Linked DNA regions of Rattus norvegicus. The protein of the gene in region 1 binds, or shares a complex with, the protein of each later gene. Links are inferred from orthologs where the notes say so. Each region holds a gene or a part of one and is shown in the gene's direction. Other genes may lie near its edges. The genes, in order: Clspn and Chek1.

Region 1 (3,810 bases):
AAAGCTAAGTTGCAGGAGGCAATGAAACTCCGAAGGCTCGAGGAGCGGCAGAAGCGCCAAGCGTTGTTTAAATTAGATAATGAAGATGGATTTGAAGAGGAGGAGGAAGAGGAAGAAATGACAGATGAGTCTGAGGAAGATGGAGAAGAGGAAGAAGAGGAGGAGGAGGAGGAGGAGGAGGAGGAGGAGGTTGGAGACATGCAGGAGGTTTGGGACAGTTATATACTTTTCTCTCTTGGCTATGATGAATAAGAGAAAAGAGTTAAGATTTACTTATTATTTGTGTGTACGAGTGGTTTACTTCAGTGCCTGCGGAGGCCAGAGAGGGTACTGGGTCCTCTGGAACTTCAGTCGTGGGTAGTTAGTTGTTAGCTGGGTGCTGGGGACTGAAACAGAGTTCTCTGGAAGAGCAGAAAGTGCTTTTCAGTGCTGCATCATCGCTCCAGCTCCCATATGTGTATATGTGTGTATGCATACATGTATACATGTATATGCATGTTTTGTATATGCATGTTTTGCCTGTGTGTGTGTGTGTGTGTGTGTGTGTGTGTGTGCCGTGTGTGCCGTGTGTGCCTCGTGGATGGATGAAAATAGCTATCTGTGTATGTACTCTAAGCTCCGCACATACAGTTCGGTTGGCATTATTGAGTGCCTGCAGTTCACAGCTGTGTGTGTCCTGTTTCTACCTGATAGTTTGTGTGTTTTAATATAGTGTTATATTGAAAATAACTTTACTAATAAGGACTTTTCTGTTTGTCATTGATTGAGATTGAAAAGCAATTGTTCTTATTTAGGCTGAGGTCTGGAATAGTTCTCAGGCAAGAGGTCTTTTTAAATCAATCCCATTCTTAGTAAAGGAGGGCATTTATGGAAGAACCCCCTGTCCCTGTCCCACAGTAGTTTTGCAGCCCAGGGAAGGTGGGTATTCATTATATGGCTGTTCAGTATGAAATGAGCTTTCTTTTCGGTTTACCCCGTGTAAAGAAAGGGAAGGGGGTGTCTGAGCTGGGCAGCACATTATAGTCTGTGCTTGCTGTGATGAGCAGTCATCCTTCCTCTAGACTGACTACTCTCTTACTGCCTTAGTAGCATGCCCATCTAATCCTCCTTCATGGAATGTGAAAAGCCCTAAAGCTAGTCAGGTGTGGTGGCACACACAGTTAATCCCAGCATCCAGGAAGCAGAGGCAGGTGGGTCTCTGTGAACTCAAGGCTGGCCTGATCTACAGAGGGAGTTCAGACTGGTCAGGGACCCAGGCCCACATAGTGAGATGCTGCGTGAGAAACAGTCAGGGGATGGCTTCCTGATTGTGCGTGGACTTAGTTTGTTTCAAGTTCACCTCTCCATGCTTGAGATGTAACCTATAACCAGGAATCCACATTTCAGCTAAGGGTGGATTTACTTTTAACATTTTTTGACTTGTATTATTTTTTTTACATGATTGGCATAGACTTCAGAATATCTTCTTGGCAGTGAAGATACAGAAACCAAAGCTGAAAAAGAAACAGATAAAGAAAACACAGACGCCAGTAGTGACGTCGGCAAACCTGTTGCCCTCTCTGTCCCCAAGCCCCTGTCCTCGGACTCCACCTTACTTCTGTTTAAGGACACCTCTTCCAAGATGGGGTAAGTTCTTCTGAGGAAAACAAAATTCTCTGGGATTTCTGAAGACATGTCCTTCTTAAAGGTGCAGGTATGTGCACACGAGTGCAGATGCCTGAGGAGGCCAGAAGAGGGCGCTGGATCCCCTGCAGCTGGGAACCAGTCTTGGGACTCTGGGAGAGCAGTGTACTCTTAACTATGAGGCCATTTCTCCAGCCCATTCTTGAATTTCTTACAAGGGAGTAGGAAGTAAGAACAGATACTCAAGCAGTTTACTGTTTTATTTTGTAGTTACTTTCCTACTGAAGAAAAATCAGAAACAGATGAACACATGGGCAAGCAGTCTGACAAACTGGGTAAGTAGTGACCCTCACGTAGAACATTTCTTTAGTTCTGATATGTAAGACCATAGTCTCACAAATGTTTCTTCCTTCCTTTTTTATTCTAGTGGCAGCATATTCTTACATGTAGCAGTGACATTATTTATGACTTGAAATATTTTTTGTGACCCATTTTTGAGCTGCTTTTATTTCTTTTTTAACATTGACTTCTTTTTACTCTATGAGCATGCGTGTTGCACCTGCGTGAATGGCTGTGCCTGCTGCTCACGAGGTTGGAAAGGGCTCCGGGTCCCACGGACCTGGACTTACACAAGGTTGTGAGGTATCATGTGGGTCCTCTGCGAGAGCAGCAAGGGCCCTTAACTGCTGAGCCAGTTCTCCAGCCCTTGGGCTAAATTTTTATAGTTGACCATGGACATACGTTTTGTTGATTGAGTGAAACATGAAATATTTCTATGCAAAGATCAAAGAAAGGTATGCACTTAGACAGAAGAGAACTCCCATGTGTCACTTAGCTCAGAGTAACGAGCCCTAAGTATACACTGCTGCTGTTGTGAATTAATTGACCTTTCACAGAATGACTTGGAGCCCAGAACTTAAGTGGTTTGCCAGTGAATTTACCTGTTCGCTTCCCAACTCTTCCTACACAAATGCACCTCTGTATTTCTGTATTCCGAGTGTATTCTCTCATCCTCTTAGATGAAGACGACTCAAGTTCACTGCTAACAAAAGAGAGCAGCCACAACAGCAGCTTTGAGCTCATTGGCTCCACAATTCCATCCTATCAGCCCTGCAACAGACACACAGGCCGTGGGACGAGTTTTCTCCCTACAGCAGGATTCAGGTCGCCATCCCCTGGACTGTTCCGGGGCAGTCTGATCAGCTCGGCTTCTAAGGTAAAGCGGGGAGAACTGTTCTCACCTCCTCTGCTCACTGCCCACACTGCTGAATAGAGTGTGTCCCAGCCAGCCGAGCCCCACCGCGTGCTGCTCAGCTTTAAAAATGCACCCGCTTCGTGTATTAATTAGCAGGCGGTCGTGCCTACAGGTAGTTTTCCTTAGGCTCTGTTGACTGCATTGTCCGCCTCAACTGCGATTGCCTGAGAGCAGATGACATATTGCAAGTAGCAACTTCTGTTGTTGTCATGACACTGGATGGCATTTGTGAAATGTTTTGCTTTTGTTTTTGTTTTTGGTGCCAGAGTTCAGGGAAACTGTCTGAGCCTTCACTTCCCATAGAGGATTCCCAGGATCTGTACACCGCCTCCCCAGAGCCGAAGACACTTTTCCTAGGAGCAGGAGACTTCCAGTTCTGTTTGGAAGATGACACTCAGAGCCAACTGTTGGATGCAGATGGGTAGGTAGTTTTGTGTTTCTGTGGGTGGGAATAAGGCTGGGTGCTGCTTAATTTTGTTTAAAAATAAAATGAGCTTCTGCCACTCCATCTGCGCTTTCTCTTCTGAGAAAGAGGTGTCCTGACCATTAGTCTTATATTCCACGAGTTTGAACAAAGTCTCCAGAAAATAAAATGTAAATACTCCTTGCTGACATTCCTATTCTCTGATCTTATTTCAAATACACAGACCTTGTATTGTAAAGGCTTTCTCTGTTCGTTCTCCTTGTGTTCTGGTTGTTGGGTAAGATTGGAATATAGCACCCGGTCCCCGTATCAGCAATGAAGGTGTCCTGGAATATAGCACCCATCACTGATGTATCATTAGAAGCCACCTTTATACCCTAGAAGTGAGCCTTTATGCCTCACCTTTAACAAACCTTGCCCATCCTCCCTGTCTAGGTTAGCATGAGGCTAAACTTTAGATCGTGTTGCCTGAGTTGAGGCCCAGTGTTAGTTACTGACCTTGTGGCTC
Region 2 (4,588 bases), on another chromosome or scaffold:
TAACTATTTTTAGGAAGTTTTACCATGAGTTACCCCCTCCCAATTTGTTTAGTTACTTTTTGCCAGTTTTCTTTTAATTTGTTCAGACACATGTTTTTGAGACTGTTTCATTTAGCCCAGGTTGTCTTTGAACTTTATATAACCGTGTGAACCTGAACTGATCTCCCTACATTTGGTCTCTAGTTGGTACAGGGACACAGATGGACGGACGGACGGACACACACACACCCCCTACACCCTCACCCTCTCTCTAAGTCAGGACTTTGATACTGTGTTTTTTCCAGGAGAGGAACCTCATGGGTCTTTGTATTTGTTGATTTCAGAACACAGACAGGAAATTACAAAGAACTGGCAATAATCTAACAGCTTGTTTTCATCACATGAGTCCTAAACTGAAGTCATGGTTTAAGTTTATAAACATTTCCAGGTTGTTTCACTTGACAGATTGCATGGAGTGTGAGGTGCAGCTCAGTGACAGTGCACTTGTCTAGCCCCACATGATTTCAGTTTTTCCTTATTTTGTGTATGTAAGCCCTTTCCCTTAGAATTGACATTTTACACTTTATTATGGGCCTTTTGCATGCCTGGCAAGCATCTACCATAAGTCTAGCCTAGTAACTAATATTGTGTTTCCTAACTCATCACTTTTGTTTAGAAAGGATCATATACGTGTGTATATATATATGTGTGTGTATATATATATATGATAACATGTATAATATATATACATTCATATTCTACCCCCACATTGGTTCAGACTGATCAGCTTCTTGAAGCAGTTCCCATGCCTCAGCCTCCCTAGGCCGAGGTTATAAATGAGTCACCATTAAGTCTACTTTGCTGTTTGTGTCTGAAAGAGAGCATCTTGGTTGAGTATCTCCTGCCTCATTTCTTAGAGTGATGGGCCACCATAGTCGTTTAAGAAAGCTAGTACAGGCAAATAGTCTTCCTAAAAATAACGTTAGATTTAGCCGGTTTGGAGCCTGTGCAGGCAAAATTGGTGACCCTCACTGGACTATGAGGCGATGTGGATTTTTTTTTTTTTTTTTGCCTTCGTTTTTTTGTTTGAGAAGACTAACTCTGCATAGCTCGGTTGCCTCAGACTCAGTTTTCTTGCTTATGCTTTCCAAATTCTAGGTTAACAAGCAATTTCTAGGTTTACAAGCATGCACCACTCTTGCTCCCTTCATTTTTTTTTTTTTTTTAGAATTAATTCCAATAGCAGTTGCTAGCTTCTCAGTTCGAATACTGAGGCCACAATTGTGTGTTTACAGAGCACTTTGTGGCGCTTGGTTTGAGCCTCATAAACCCTTCCTACCAGGGCCTCCTAGGTCACGAGCAGATCGGTTTACGTAGTTAACCGTGCAGCCTTTGCAGGCTCTGACCGGCAAGGAACCCGGGTTCTTGCCCTGGGCCCAACCGATGCGCCGTTTGGATGGATTCTTTCTGTACCAATGTAAGGCGTCCAGCATAGTGCACGCCCGATGCCATTTCACTCTGGGACTCAGATCACTTCTCACCAAAGCAGTCGTCAATACCAAATCTCATTAGCCTGTGTCTTACCGCGGCCGCATCAGAACTCCAACCAAGCACGCCCAGTACTTGAAGGAGGGGCCCTTGCTCGGTCAGTCTACCGAAATTGCTCCTCGGTAGAGCTCGGGATAGGACAACGCGCGCCGGCCCACTTTACGGCAAAGGTGTGCGCTTTTGCGACAGCATGACGCAAGCAGGTTTTGGCGGGAAAAGCTGTGCACTTGGATTCCTGTGGCAGCTGGCAAAGGACTGCTTGGTGAGAAGGGCGTCCTGAACGGTGGGAAAGAACTCCAGCAAAGTACCCAGAGGGCTTGATTAGTGCGGGCTGGCATGGTGAGGGAGTGGCCCAGATGAGCGGAGAGGTGGGAGGGCCGCCCGGAGTGCGGGCTGGAACCGGTGGTCTGCGGCTCTCCAGCGTACAGGGACCAGAGCTTTTTGTAAGCCTCCGGGGTTCGCATGCTTTTCCGGCTTTAGGGGGTCCCTGCCTTCCGCTTCTCTCCGCGGCTTGGCCCCGCCCCGTGCCCTCCCGGTGCTGGGGACACGTGCGGTTGGGGTGGGAATTGGAAGTGAGCGGGTGGGAGGAGGGGCTGCTCTGGAAGTAATTCCCTTAGTTACACCCAGCTGTCCCCCACCCCGGCACCCTGCCCTGCCCTGCCCTGTCCTGCCCCCAACTCCCTTTCCGGGTCATTCATCTGAAAGCTTTTGTTTTGTTTTGTTTAGCAGTTACTTCCAGCTAAGCAAGTGTTCAGTTTTGCATAAAGGCGGAGGTCTATCGTAGAAACAGGATTTGTGATATACAGGGCAAAATGTTTAAATTTAGCTTTATGATTTGGGTAAATATGGATGAGATGTAAAGGGAAAACAAAGTCGTGCGGAATCATGGCAGGAGACATGGCTCAACGGCATTACAGGTGATGAGAATTTACACTCATCGCCCGTATTTTCTGGAATCCTGCATTTTACAGTTGCTGTGCTTGGAGTCATGGCAGTGCCTTTTGTGGAAGACTGGGATTTGGTGCAAACTTTGGGAGAAGGCGCCTATGGAGAGTAAGTTTGAGCCCTCATTTAAATTTTTTAGTGTGTGTGGGTGTCTGTGTGCACGTGTGCGCGCGCGTGCGCGCCTGACTTTTGTTGAAGACTGGGATCTGGTGCAAACTTTGGGAGAAGGTTCCTATGCAGAGTAAGTTTGAGCCCTCATTTTAGTGTGTGTGTGTGTGTGTGTGTGTGTGTGTGTGTGTGTTCGTTCTGCCATGGATGTACCTGTGGAGGTCAGAAGACACTTGCTGGTTCTGTTGAGGGTTCAGAGGACTGAACTCTGATCATCAGGCCTGACAGCAAGCGGCTTAACCTGCCTAGCCATCTCCACAATCCCTATTAAAATATTACCTCTTTGCTTGTTTTAGTTTTCTATCTCTTGTCTGAATACACACTTAAAAAAATCCTTTATTCCAAGTGGCAAAGAGCATGGATATTTGCATTTGTAAATCAAGGCTCTGAGTGAAGTTACTTCTCCACACTTGTCCCTCCTCTTTTGTCATAGTGGACATTGAACATCACCACACATCACCACACATGCTGGGCCTATGCTCTGCGACGAGCTACATTTTTAGGCCTATCAAACGAACAACAAATTTCTTTTTGCGTTTGATTTTGTTCAGATCAAAATCTTGTTAAATTGCCCAGCTTTGGCCTTATACTTGTGGCACACTGTAGCCTCCCAGGTAGGTATTACAATCCCATGTTAGTCGATCCAGTTTTTTTTTTTTTTTTTAAATTTTTCTTTTATAAGAAAATCATTTCCCTAACAAACCACGTGTCTTAAAATTTTAAATGAGATAATGAAAAGACCCTGGCGGCATCCAGCCTGACTGGAGACCCTCACACTCAGCGGATCCTAGTTGTGTTTTGTGTTCCTGAGCGAGCTTTATGTGTCTTTGTTTCTTCATCTGATGATAGAATTAGTGGCTCTTACCTCAGAGGTGCTCAGGCATATATGCATGAGATTCATAAAGGGAAAGGAATGCTGCCGTGGGGCCAGATCATGTGTACATGTGATGTAATCCAGCCTTGTTACTGTTTTTCAAAGCCTCATCAGTACACACACCAGGTTTCCATGTTTCCAAGACTTGGAGCCTTCACTGAAGCACTCATCTCTGGTCTCATTGCTCGGGAGACCATGGCAGAGGCCATTTCATTTTCCTTGATGAAGAAAGGAAGAATAGTTCGGGATGTGTTACATTTAATTTCTTGAAGTTTTTTTTTCGTCCTAAGATTTATGTGTTTTCTTAATATGTGTGTTTGCTTGCCTGCATGTTAGTGTACTACATGTGTTCAGGGCTGACAGAGGGCCAGAAGGTGTGGGATTCCCCCAGAACTGGGAATTACAGATGGGTTATATGAGCTACCACGTGGGTGCTGGAAACTGTACTGAGGTCTGAAGCAAGTGCACTGAAATGCTGAGCCATCGTTCTAGGTGACCCCTCAATGCACCCCCCTCCCCCCCTCCCCAGTTTTGTTTGTAGAGAGTCTCATTGGCCTCAAACTCACTCCAAGCGCTCTGCTTGCCTCTGTTTCTCTTAGGTTTTTGGTTGTGAGCCTAGCCATTAACGGCTGAGCCATCTCTCCAGCCCTTGCCTCTGCTTCTCATGTGCTGGGATCCAAGACTTGTACACATCATCACTCCCTGCTTTGAAAGTTTCTTTGTAGTCCAGGCTGGGCTGGCTTGAACTTAGACCCCTTTGTCTCTCTCTAGAAGGTTGGAATTACAGGTGTGCGTCACTAATCTTTTGAAGATGTAGGAGAAATGGAATTCTGAGGTGAAAATGTTGTAACTCACTCTCTCTCTCTCTCTCTCTCTCTCTCTCTTTTTAAGAGTTCAACTTGCTGTGAATAGAATAACTGAAGAAGCTGTTGCAGTGAAAATTGTAGACATGAAGCGGGCCATAGACTGCCCAGAAAATATTAAGAAAGAGATCTGCATCAATAAGATGTTAAATCATGAGAATGTAGTGAAATTCTATGGCCACAGGAGGGAAGGCAACATCCAGTACCTGTT

The links.
Region 2: the proteins of Clspn (region 1) and Chek1 are in contact, whole or in part, in a crystal structure (PDB 7AKO), measured with the Homo sapiens proteins. The link is inferred for Rattus norvegicus from reciprocal best matches to the Homo sapiens genes CLSPN and CHEK1. Residues at the interface, in NP_071394.2 of Homo sapiens: Glu938, Leu940, Leu941, Leu943, Cys944, Ser945, Gly946; in NP_001107593.1 of Homo sapiens: Lys53, Lys54, Cys57, Met61, Arg129, Thr153, Val154, Phe155, Arg156, Tyr157, Asn158, Arg160, Glu161, Arg162.

What each region holds. Positions count from the first base shown.
Region 1 is NC_086023.1:144,151,399-144,155,208, forward strand, and holds part of Clspn (claspin), read left to right. Parts: coding exon 1-207; intron 208-1,450; coding exon 1,451-1,626; intron 1,627-1,893; coding exon 1,894-1,958; intron 1,959-2,642; coding exon 2,643-2,839; intron 2,840-3,144; coding exon 3,145-3,299; intron 3,300-3,810.
Region 2 is NC_086026.1:44,627,020-44,631,607, reverse strand, and holds the start of Chek1 (serine/threonine-protein kinase Chk1), read left to right. Parts: upstream 1-1,764; 5' UTR 1,765-1,789; exon of another isoform or gene 1,790-1,970; intron 1,971-1,987; exon of another isoform or gene 1,988-2,498; 5' UTR 2,499-2,515; coding exon 2,516-2,580; intron 2,581-4,405; coding exon 4,406-4,588. UniProt on the Homo sapiens protein: Serine/threonine-protein kinase which is required for checkpoint-mediated cell cycle arrest and activation of DNA repair in response to the presence of DNA damage or unreplicated DNA.